Danio rerio: one gene and its partners. The protein of the gene in region 3 interacts with the protein of the main gene of each other region in a biochemical or structural test. Links are inferred from orthologs where the notes say so. Each region holds a gene or a part of one and is shown on either strand. Other genes may lie near its edges.

The links.
Region 1: the proteins of ube3a (region 3) and esr1 form a complex in vitro, tested with the Homo sapiens proteins (2 studies listed by BioGRID, with this or other methods). The link is inferred for Danio rerio from reciprocal best matches to the Homo sapiens genes UBE3A and ESR1.
Region 2: of the proteins of ube3a (region 3) and faf2, one has a biochemical effect on the other in vitro, tested with the Homo sapiens proteins (2 studies listed by BioGRID). The link is inferred for Danio rerio from reciprocal best matches to the Homo sapiens genes UBE3A and FAF2.

The regions. Positions count from the first base shown.
Region 1 is NC_133195.1:29,090,284-29,093,945, forward strand, and holds part of esr1 (estrogen receptor), read right to left. Parts: intron 2,130-3,662; coding exon 1,906-2,129; intron 1-1,905.
Region 2 is NC_133189.1:56,134,199-56,137,860, reverse strand, and holds part of faf2 (FAS-associated factor 2), read left to right. Parts: intron 1-1,283; coding exon 1,284-1,455; intron 1,456-3,662. UniProt on the Homo sapiens protein: Plays an important role in endoplasmic reticulum-associated degradation (ERAD) that mediates ubiquitin-dependent degradation of misfolded endoplasmic reticulum proteins.
Region 3 is NC_133181.1:41,335,856-41,339,517, reverse strand, and holds the end of ube3a (ubiquitin-protein ligase E3A), read right to left. Parts: intron 1,745-3,662; coding exon 1,624-1,744; 3' UTR 320-1,623; downstream 1-319. UniProt on the Homo sapiens protein: E3 ubiquitin-protein ligase which accepts ubiquitin from an E2 ubiquitin-conjugating enzyme in the form of a thioester and transfers it to its substrates.

The DNA of each region.
Region 1 (3,662 bases), on a different chromosome or scaffold from region 3:
TTATATTCAAAACTCCGTAAAAATTACAAACAATATCTGTTAATTAACAGCCTGACTGTTATTTTATGTATAATATAATTAATGACAAATTACAGCAATTTGACTGTTTTTATACAGTAAAATCGCAGTATTATTTACAGTGTTTTTTCCCGTTTTTTTTTTCATATAAAAGAATGTAAAATTAAAGTAATATATTGTAATTAGTTGCACTTTTAAAATGAAAATTGTAAAAAAAAAAAAAAAAAGATAAATAAAAAAAAGTCAAATGACTGGCAGCTATGGCTGCCAAACAAAATCCATAAAATTATGTTAAAATTTCTTTGTTGAAAAAAAGTACAAAAATAATAAATCAAGAATGAAATTGTAGACTTGTATAGGGCTAAACGCTAAGGATTTTTAAAAATGGCACAGATAAAATTTTTGTTTTTACTTGCCTGATCAAAATTCTAATTCTAATTAGTTATTTCTTAGCCACATATTTTAAAAAAATGTTTCAAAACAAGCAGACCCTAGTTGTAAACATACAAAAAAAAAAAAAAAACGCTTTGAAAAAAAAACCTTTAATAAACTAAATGTATGCACAACAAGCTGTTATAATATTAATTACAATAACCAGAGCAATTTCAGTAGGGCCCAGGCACCATAGGATATGTGTTGAATTGACTGGGTAGCTTTACACAAACAAAGTAAATTAAGACCCATTTAAAATGATTTAAGACCTACCAGACAATATTTAAGGGCCTGAGATTAGTTTTTGAAATTTAAGACATAACTTTATTGGACCCTGTGGACACCATGGAAACATGAGAGGAGCATAACATAAAACAACATATATAGGAAACATAAAAGTTTAATAACTGTTTAAAGATTACTGTGATATCAGACAATTTACTCAGTTTGCACTGTTACCTGCTACACACACACACACACACACACACACACACACACACACACACACACACACACACACACACACACACATATATATATATAATAGAAAAGCATGCATATTTAGATGCAAGACATTGTGTAAGTGTTGGTCCTTGATTTTGATTAGCTGAGCAGCACTCTAACAGCACAAAGAGGTGATTCAAACAGCACAAATTTTTGCATTTCATTTCACTGCATTGTTTTTATGTGAACATGCAATAGCAAATCCATCGATGAATTGCCGTTTTGACTTTTTTCTGTGTACATGCAATAGCAAATCATAGCATCATCCAGTCTTGTGTCTTGGCAGCATTTTGCAGTGTAATTAGACAGAGTTACAAAAACACAAAACTCAGGTTTAACTTTTGAAAAATGTCCTATGTTTAGGTATTTTGGTCATAGTCATGGAAAAATTTAGGTGATGTTTTCTTACATGGTTATACCAATATTGGCTGTTTATGGGGTTTGATTTATGTTTAATGTAAATATTTAGTTTTTTTTTTTTAAGCATACAAATAAAATACTTTTTAAAACAAAACCCCCACCACCAATGTAAAATTCATGATATCTACTTTTGATTTGTATTGTATGAGCAAGATGAAACGTGCAATCTATTGTTGTGAATAAACTGTCAAACCCAAAAAGTTAAGGTAACATTTGCAGAAGTTTGCGTAAACCGATTCCAACAAACAATTTAAGTTTCAAAGCTAATCCTTCCTCCATTTAAGTTAAAGAAATGAAGTATTTATTTAACTCATTACTTTCAACACTGAGTTCAAAACTCTTTTCAAATGCGTAGAATTACCTTTCAGTATGTTTTAAGTCAGCTACAGTCATTTCATTTGATAAAGTTGACTGTTGGGTTTTACAGTGTATTAACAAAGCTGTGATTTGTTTTTGTTTTTTATTTGCAGCCGCGTCACATCCCTGCTGATATTCAGAACAACAAGACTGCATGTAAAACAGGCTGGTCACCTTGAATGCTTCTCTTGAAGAAAGCTTTGCATCCCTCACACGACCAGACTCCGTAATGATATCCAGAGGCGTAGTCACTGCACACCGCACAGAAGCGAGTCTCTTTCCCTGAATCAAAGCCTCCAGCCGCTCTGGATCCAGTGTACAACTCCTGCCTGTCAGTGGCACTGCACAGCTCCTCACACAGGCCCACGGCTGCCTGCTGAGAGGACACCACACTGGACCTGCACAAAAACAGAGGTGAACAGTCAATACACTAGATGTTACACTTCATATAAATAATTATTAAAGCAATAGTATTTAAAGTCTATATGAACATGAGGAGGGTGGCGTTTTATTTTAGCACTCCTCCTAGTCATCTCTCACATCTCAAACTAGATTATAATTGTAAATCAGGTTATAAATAAGAGGAAATAAGCATGCGCAAAAAATAGTAACAGCGTTCGCATGGGTTTCCTCCGGGTGCTCTGGTTTCCCCCACAGTCCAAAGACATGCAGTACAGGTGAATTGGGTTGGCTACATTGTCCATAGTATATGAGTGTGTGTGGATGTTTCCCAAAGATGGGTTGCGGCTGGAAGGGTATCCGCTGCGTAAAAACATGCTGGACAAGTTGGCGGTTCATTCCGCTGTGGCAACCCCGGATTAATAAAGGGACTAAGCTGACAAGAAAATGAATGAATGAATAAAAAAAATTGTGAAAAGGGGTCATTTGATAATGTGTTATTTATTTTAATTAAGTTTAAATTTCATCACGAAAAGGGCCATAAACATAAAATGCTAATGTTAACTTGTAATCATTTTCATCCTTTTAAAAAGTAAATTCTAAAATAAAGATCACATTTAACAGGGTTAAACTAGATTTTGAATGTAAAAAATAGGAAATAAGCATGCACAAAATATAGTGAAAAGGGGTCATCTGATAACCATTATGGAAGCATACACCCTAGAGTATATGGACAATTCAGTTCTAGAAAATCAGAAGAGTTTTCAAAAGTAAAATTGGCAGCGTGCATTGAGAATATGTACGTGACTGCAAACAGGGGGCAAGTGTGACTATCTCCATTTCCTTTTGACCCTTTGTTCCAGTGTTTGTAAATATTTATTATGTCTTAATTCTGATGTCCAGCAGATTGATTGCATGATCTCAGAAATGTTCTAAAGTGTCACCAAATGACAAATGACGTTTCCAAGCAGTCTTGCCTTTAAAAAAGAAGACTAGTTTTATTCAGACAACATGCTTTGGTTATAATGCTGTCTTCAATATTTGCTGTCCCTTGATCTCACTCAGTTCGTCTGAACGTGAAAAATGTTCTCCGTTGTGTTCAGACAGAACTAATTGTACTTTTCTCAAGGTCTAAAGACAGAGTTTGATGAGAGGCTTTACGCTTCTTTCAAAGACTGGTGTACTTCAGTCCCCATGTTGCACTCAAGTGTTTACTGTCCTAACCTCTTTTCCGAGAAATCAAGATCTACTCTAATCAAGAGCACTAATATTTAACAGCACAAACATAAAGCATAAACTAACAACAAGTAAAATAAAGTGTAATGTTCTGCAGAACATCAAACACACATCCACATAGAGACGCATTTATATTTTTTGTTAGTTTATGTGCTAAGCATAAATAAGTACACCACATTTTGAAAATTAATATTTTCATCCATTTCTCAGTGGATATAATCAATGTATTTTGGTGCATTTGGAACAAAACAGATTTATTAAACAGATATATTTATTAAAATAATATTTAAATTATA
Region 2 (3,662 bases), on a different chromosome or scaffold from region 3:
ATTGATTATAAAGATTTTTTTTTATCCATTCAAGAATTATTATTTTTTTTTTTATCAAACTTTGATGCGTCACTTGCTTTTGTTCATATCTCAGACAGTTTAACCTATTAAAGTTAAGTATTAAAATATTAATGACAACAGAACATGGGTTACTCTACAAATATATATAAATGTATGTATGTATGTATGTATGTATGTATGTATGTATGTATGTATGTATGTATGTATGTATGTATGTATGTATGTATATTTTTATGTTATATTATGGAAAGCATAAAAGTTATATGCTTAAAAGGCAATAATGGTCCAACGTTCCTGACCATTATCACTAATAATGCCTAGAAAAGCAGGACATTGGTGTTTTGTAAACCAATATGTTCAAATATACTTTTCCAGTTAACAAAGAAATAATTGTGTTGCTTCATTTTAGTTTTGTAACTATTAAATTGTTTTAAATTCATAATGCAATATACACACATCAGTGTAAAACCCATGAATGCTGAAAAAACATTCTCCACACGGGTCTCCACTTTTTCCATGACCTCTCTTTTTGGTTTAACAAACTTTATCAAAAACTTTCCTCCTTTCATCCTTAGTATTTCTTTCGAAACCATTAGCACTATGAAATATGCCGGTAAATATCATATCATATATAAGAATAAATATCATAAGTAGAAGAAAAGAAAATCCAAATCTCTTTGTCAGAGTTATCATATGACACATTACCAGTATTTTGAAGTCAGTTACTAAAGGTTTAAAACAGAAGTCACCAATCTCGGTCCTGGAGGGCCGGTGTCCCTGAAGGGTTTAGCTCCAACTTGCCTCAACACACCTGCCTGGATGTTTCAGGTATACCTAGTAAGGCCTTGATTAGCTTTTTCAGGTGTGTTTGATTAGGGTTGGGTTGCTAAAATCGGCCCTCCAGGAACAAGTTTGGTGACCACTGGTTTATATTTATGATTTAATGACAACGAAAATTGCACAAAATAATAGAAATTTAAATGTTAATTTTAAAATAAAATATTTTTAATCCTTTTTAATTTCAATGCATGCTGCAGTGTAAATACTGTTTAATTTCAAAATAACGACAATGTTCAAATTATGCTCATACATATGGCAAGAGGAGTCATTTTTATTTTGATATTATGCTGCAGTAATTAAAACGAACATTAAAATAAGCTAAAGCATTCAAACATTGTTTTGTTTTATGCAATCGGGAATTTAGAACCACTACTTTAATAAATACTTCTTTATTTAATTGATCGTGTTTTTGTGATTTGCAGGGAAGAGAGGAATCAGACGCAGGTATTGCGACAGCAGCAGGACGAGGCTTACGAGGCATCACTGCGAGCAGATCAGGAGAAAGACAGAAAGAAAAGAGAAGAACAAGAGCAGAAACGGCAAGAGGAGGAGAAAGTACGCCAGACCGTCCTCGCAGAGGAGAGACGACGAAGAGTGAGTGCTCAGTATTATATGCAGAAATTTCACAAATGCTTAAGTCTTGCCTTAAAAGTAGGGCTGCATGATATTGTAAAAAACGTACATTGTATTTTGCAGTCTTTCCTGAGATAACTTAATAACTTGAGATGTTTTAATCTGCATAACTTATAATAAACAAATTAAAAGCAGATATAAATAATGTAGATCGAATATACAAATGAAGGAGTCTAACATCATACAGGTACAGAAATAGAATAATCAAATGTATAATAAAGCTGTATCTTCTTCATTGTATAAATAATTAAATACAATTAATCTTTGTTAATCCTTAAAGACCGAAACAGCCGCCCGTGGCTAAAAAACACTATTGTTTTTTAAATGTTTAATATCTTTTGATCCGCTGATCTGATCCGAATTTAAAGATTGGCATAAAGAGGAGAATCTTAGCTCTCTATTGCTGTAACACATTGCATTCACGGACCTTCAGAGGCTCTGGATTCAGTGTGGTTACGTCATCACATTTTGACAACGCTGATTTGACAAAGGAACGCTCGTGGCTTGTGTCTCCGAACAAACCAGACATGATGCATTGATGCATTGTCCCTCCTCCATGCCCAGATTGGTTTAAACTCGCTCTCTCTCCACCAATAAGCATAGGTTTTGCTTTGGTGGATAACCAATCAACTATTTGAACAACCCGGAATGAGAAATAGGCTGTACATTTACGCACGGCTAAATAAAACGCAAAAAGTTTTGCATGAAATAATCCTCATACTGAGTACTTTTGCATGCACAACAGCACAGAAACATTACAAAACAGTGACACAGCAAAGACCAAGTGCTGGTCTTGCTGTTTTCAAAGCACGCAAATAGCGGTGCGGCTGTTTGTCTGCAACACTAAAGTTGAGAAGCAGCAGGGTCAACACCATATGCTGGCTCAAAAAACCTACGGATGGTCCATATTGAATCTATTTTAGTTATGTAACTATTCATAGTATAGTAAATGATTATATGTATTTTTTTACTGAGGATTTGCACCATGTTTATTTGGACTTTGACCATTATTTATAATTTTCTTATTTTTATTTGTTCATTGTAAGTGGTGTTTATGGTAACTAAAAATATGTTTGGAAAACGCCAAACTTGCTTCAGTGTTCTGTTATTTTGTAACAATCTTTCTGTTAAGTTCATTCCCAGAACTTTTGGGCAGATACACTGTCAGTAAATAAATGCACTAGTTTTTTCTCACTGAAAAACGACTTAGAATAACATTGAAATAAATTGCTATAACTTGCTCAGGGAAAGGTGGATGTAGACAATTTATTTTGGAAGTATAAAACATCATAGCGTGTATTTCTAAAGAAAAAAACAAACTTCATAAGGTTTTGTTTGTAATAACTAGAAAATGCCACTTTAAAAAAAACAAAAACGTTTTCCTAAAATTCTGGAATATTTTCTGTCTGTTCATATGTTTTTGGACCAAAAAAAGACTGGACCTTTAAATAATACAGATTAAAGCTTCAGGTTTTCCTGTTTAAAATATTATATGACACTTGAGGCTGACTGCTAAAATAAAAATAAAACTGCTTAAAAAATAAAATAAAATAAATATATATATATATATATATATATATATATATATATATATATATATATATATATATATATATATGTGTGTGTGTGTGTGTATATATATGTATGTATATATATATATGTATGTATATATATGTATGTATATATATGTATGTATATATATATATATATATATATATATATATATATATATATATATATATATATATATATATATATATATATATATATATATATATATATATATATATATGTGTGTGTGTATATATATGTATGTATGTATATAGGCCCATTAGGTGCCCACAAAATACCTCTAGATCTTTAGGGGTTAAAGCTACACACATAATCATTCCCGGTGCTTTAAAATGTTTAAACATGCCTTAAAAACTCAAGCAATTGTTGAACATTCACTTTATTATGGTTCAACCAAAATGACTCCAATATTTCTTATCTCAACTGTTATTTAACTACCTCCTTAACTATAATCCTGACTCCACATTGCACGTCCTGCGATGTGACTATGGCAAATTTACACATTGCAATAATGATATAGTCATAAGTTGCTGATGTGACAATAAATAAACAAGTAAACAAACAAACAAATGCTTAATCAAAATGAAAGGATTCCA
Region 3 (3,662 bases):
AATTTGATGTTTGAAAATATGTCTATGAAAATTCAGCCTTGAAAAATTCAGTCATCTTAAATTTCAGATGTTCAATATTCAAGTTATGAAATTCAAATTCAAATCAAGAAATTTAAATTCAAAACCATTTTAACGGCATAAGAATGCAGATTTAAAAAATTACAAACATCAATAATTCAACTGAACACATTTCAGATTGTTTTGGCATATTACTAGCTCCATACATTTCCCGCTATAAGAAGTTTTCTTAATTGTGTCACACCACAAAAGACCCCAAAAGCTGCATCACATGATTTCTTGACCACATATCAACACACGGTTTGTTTTTCAGTTTTGAATTTATTTAAGAATAACTTGAAACAATCAAATGTTGTCATTCTCAATATCAAGTTCTGTTTCCCCCTTTTATGTTAGCGCCATCAGCAGTGGATCAAACCACAGTCACATTTAATCTGCAAGAGGGAATAAGGAAAAACAAAATAAACAAAAAAAAAAAAAAAAAAGTGAACAGGGCATCACTAATCTGGATTACCAGCTACGCCTGAACAAAATCGGAGCGGCGATTCTCAGCATAACTGTTTGGCACGACAAGATAGTGGTACGACTTGTGCCAATTTCCCCTCATTTTCATCCAAATGTATCGGGCCAGATACTGTGCAGAGCAAAGAAAAAAAAAAGCGCAACTAAAACGCTTTCTTCATGGGGCACCGTCAATTAGCATTCATGGACTAAAAGTCTGCCATCTTGAATTAAAACAAGACAGATAACAAAACAAACAAACACTAGTAGGAAGCTTCTGACAGAGTTTTATAGGAAGTTGAGATCTCTCCTTTATAACACTACTCGTTTTCGGCAGGAGTGCACCACTGTGATCTTTAGCAAACCGGTCAGTTGTGTGTGAGGGAGAGAAAAAGTCGAATCTGAAGCGAAATGCAGAACACTGGCCATAAACGAGCAGCACGACGGCATTACAAACAATGCAGATTCTCAATAAATACAGATTCCTGGATGCCAAACTGAGACTGAGGCTGCTCTGTACCTTTCAAACATTGCCGCAAATGTGAACGAACTAGGGAAGACCAATGAAGCACGAGCCAAAACTAAAAAGAAAAGCCTAAGGGTTGACAAAAAAAAATCAAAAATAAAACAAAGACATTCTGAATAGAGTTAAGTGCACTTTCACAGTTCAACCGTAATACAACAAAGTTCCACCTCCTCCCTTTGATCTTGTTTTATTAAGTTTAGTTGGTGATCAGTCCTGCAGCCGTTGAAAACTTCCAACCGTCCCTCCTGTTTTTATGACTATGAAGCAACAAAAGTGTGGAATTCCTGGCAGACATGACAAGAGATTTCATCCCTTAAAATAAATAACGCTATATCTCAGTGCATACAAAAAAAAGGGAACCTGAACACTTACATAAGAGGGAGAGAGAGAGAGACAGAGAAAGAGAGAGAGCCATGAGTCCAGTGTGGTTTTATCTACTTTTTAGGCACAGGCACACGGTCACCAGAACTTCCCCATTTTGAACCCATTTCATGTTGCCTTACATTTAAACTTGATATTTACGATTAGTTGTGGATGTAGCTGATTCTCCTCTGAGGGCTAGAGTGAGTTCTTTAGCCTCAGAGCATGCCGAAGCCTTTGGCGTAAGTGATGGCTTTAAGGAGTCTCTCTTTAAGTTTCTCCACGGTGGAGTATTCGGGGAGGAGCAGCACGTTGAAGCAGGTATGAGAGGTGGGTAACCTGAAGAACACAGGCGGACCAGAACAAGGTGTTAATTCAACAGCTATTTCACCATTATTTTTAGTATTTAAGACAGAACAAATGTTACACAATATTTCTTAGGGGTAACATTTGAGATTAACTTGATGATGGTTAGTCACACACACAAAAAAACAGACAAAGCATACAAAATCTGTATATTATTCAACTTTTTTTTTTTTTTTTTAGGTTTATTTAAATCACAAGATTTGTAATTTTCTAAAATAGGCATAACTTACAAGAACACAGGTTACTGGTTACTGGTTTCCAGAAATGTTCATAATATTTTCTTTTGTTTTTATTTTTTTATTTTTGGGTGAACTAAGTGATTTTTTTCAACTAAAACATTAAGCTCTTGATGTTACAATTGTTTTTTAAAGCAACGTTTTGAAACTAGATTTTACATGAAATACAACAAAATACAATGAATAAAGCTGTGAGACATTAAGAAGAGGCTAAATATTTTAGTGACACTAAAATAACTTAATAATAATTATATGAAAAAATACATCCCACGTATAGTCAGAGCCAAAAGGTTATTGATTTAAAAAAATGATAGTAAATGTATAAACATGTGTTTTGGATATGGATTTAAAGATTTGCTTTCTGTAACTAAAAATGATGGGTTTTTATTTTCTAGAAATTTTAATTGATCCCATCATAGTCATTCTTCTCATTTATGTGCAATTTTAAAGATTCATCAAGCTAACAGGGCCCTACAATCAGCAGGCCAGTTGTTGCTGGAGGTCCCCAGATCCAGGTTGCAGTGGCATGTCCAAAACTGTGCAATACCCTCCCTATAAAACTTTGTATTATCATGAATGTTGCACTGTCAGTAGTGCAACATGCTGTGTTATTGACATTCTTGTTTTAATGCATAATTTTGTTTTAATGCTGTAAAGCACTTTGAGCAGCCCCCAGCTTGTATTATGGCCCATTTCCACTGAGTGGTACAGTATGGGTCACCGTTATCAGGCTTGCGTTTCCACTGCTAAAAGGGTATCAGTGGTACTCTTTTGGTGTGCATGGTGTACGACAGAAAGTTTCAGTCGATGTTATTCTCGCTCAAGAAAATGTCTACAGTAAAGCTGTACAGGCTGTTCACATATCATATGAGAAGCATTTCTCACAAAACAGACACTTTATACACATAAATACTTAAGTATAAGTGTTCATTACTAACCTTTCAATGAACATGATTTGATTATGACTGCAGATCAATGACAGTGTGAATTAACCTACTGTAACGTCTGCAATTATATAAGGTAAATAAATAAATAAATAAATAAATAAATGCAATATATATGAATACATGCAGCCCCTTACAGTCTCCGATAAGTTACCAGTTACAGAAAAACTACACGCAGCATATGTTTAGTCTTTATTTGGGTTAAAAAAAACAACTTGCAACATATAGCTCACAGTCAGTGCAAATCTCTCATCTGTATCTTTAATTTCACCAGCACATGTAACCTCTTGATAGAAAGTAATTCCGTCATTCTGGGTTCATAATAGTCTAGAAGTGAATATAATACTTAAACACAGCAGTTTGTTCATGTTTTAGGTTGCTGAAACAATCATTTACTCCTTTGTTTTTCCGGCTTCTCCCTTTGTTTTTTTGCGCAACAGCTCTGTAGCTGTTCAACAAGATGACGACAAGGTTTGTTTAAGCTCGGGTCAACCATAGCTTGTTGTTATATGTATATATTGTTACAGTGTAACATCTCAACTGTGTATTTAAAACATGGAGGTTATGGAGGGGAAAAGAAACACTGATCGCTAGTTTACTACTAAAGCATAGTACAGTATACATCTAAATTTGTTTCCACTGTTTGTCAGAAGTAGCAAAATAGCTGACTGTACCATACACCCCTGTTTTGTCCCTTTAATAAGGATAACT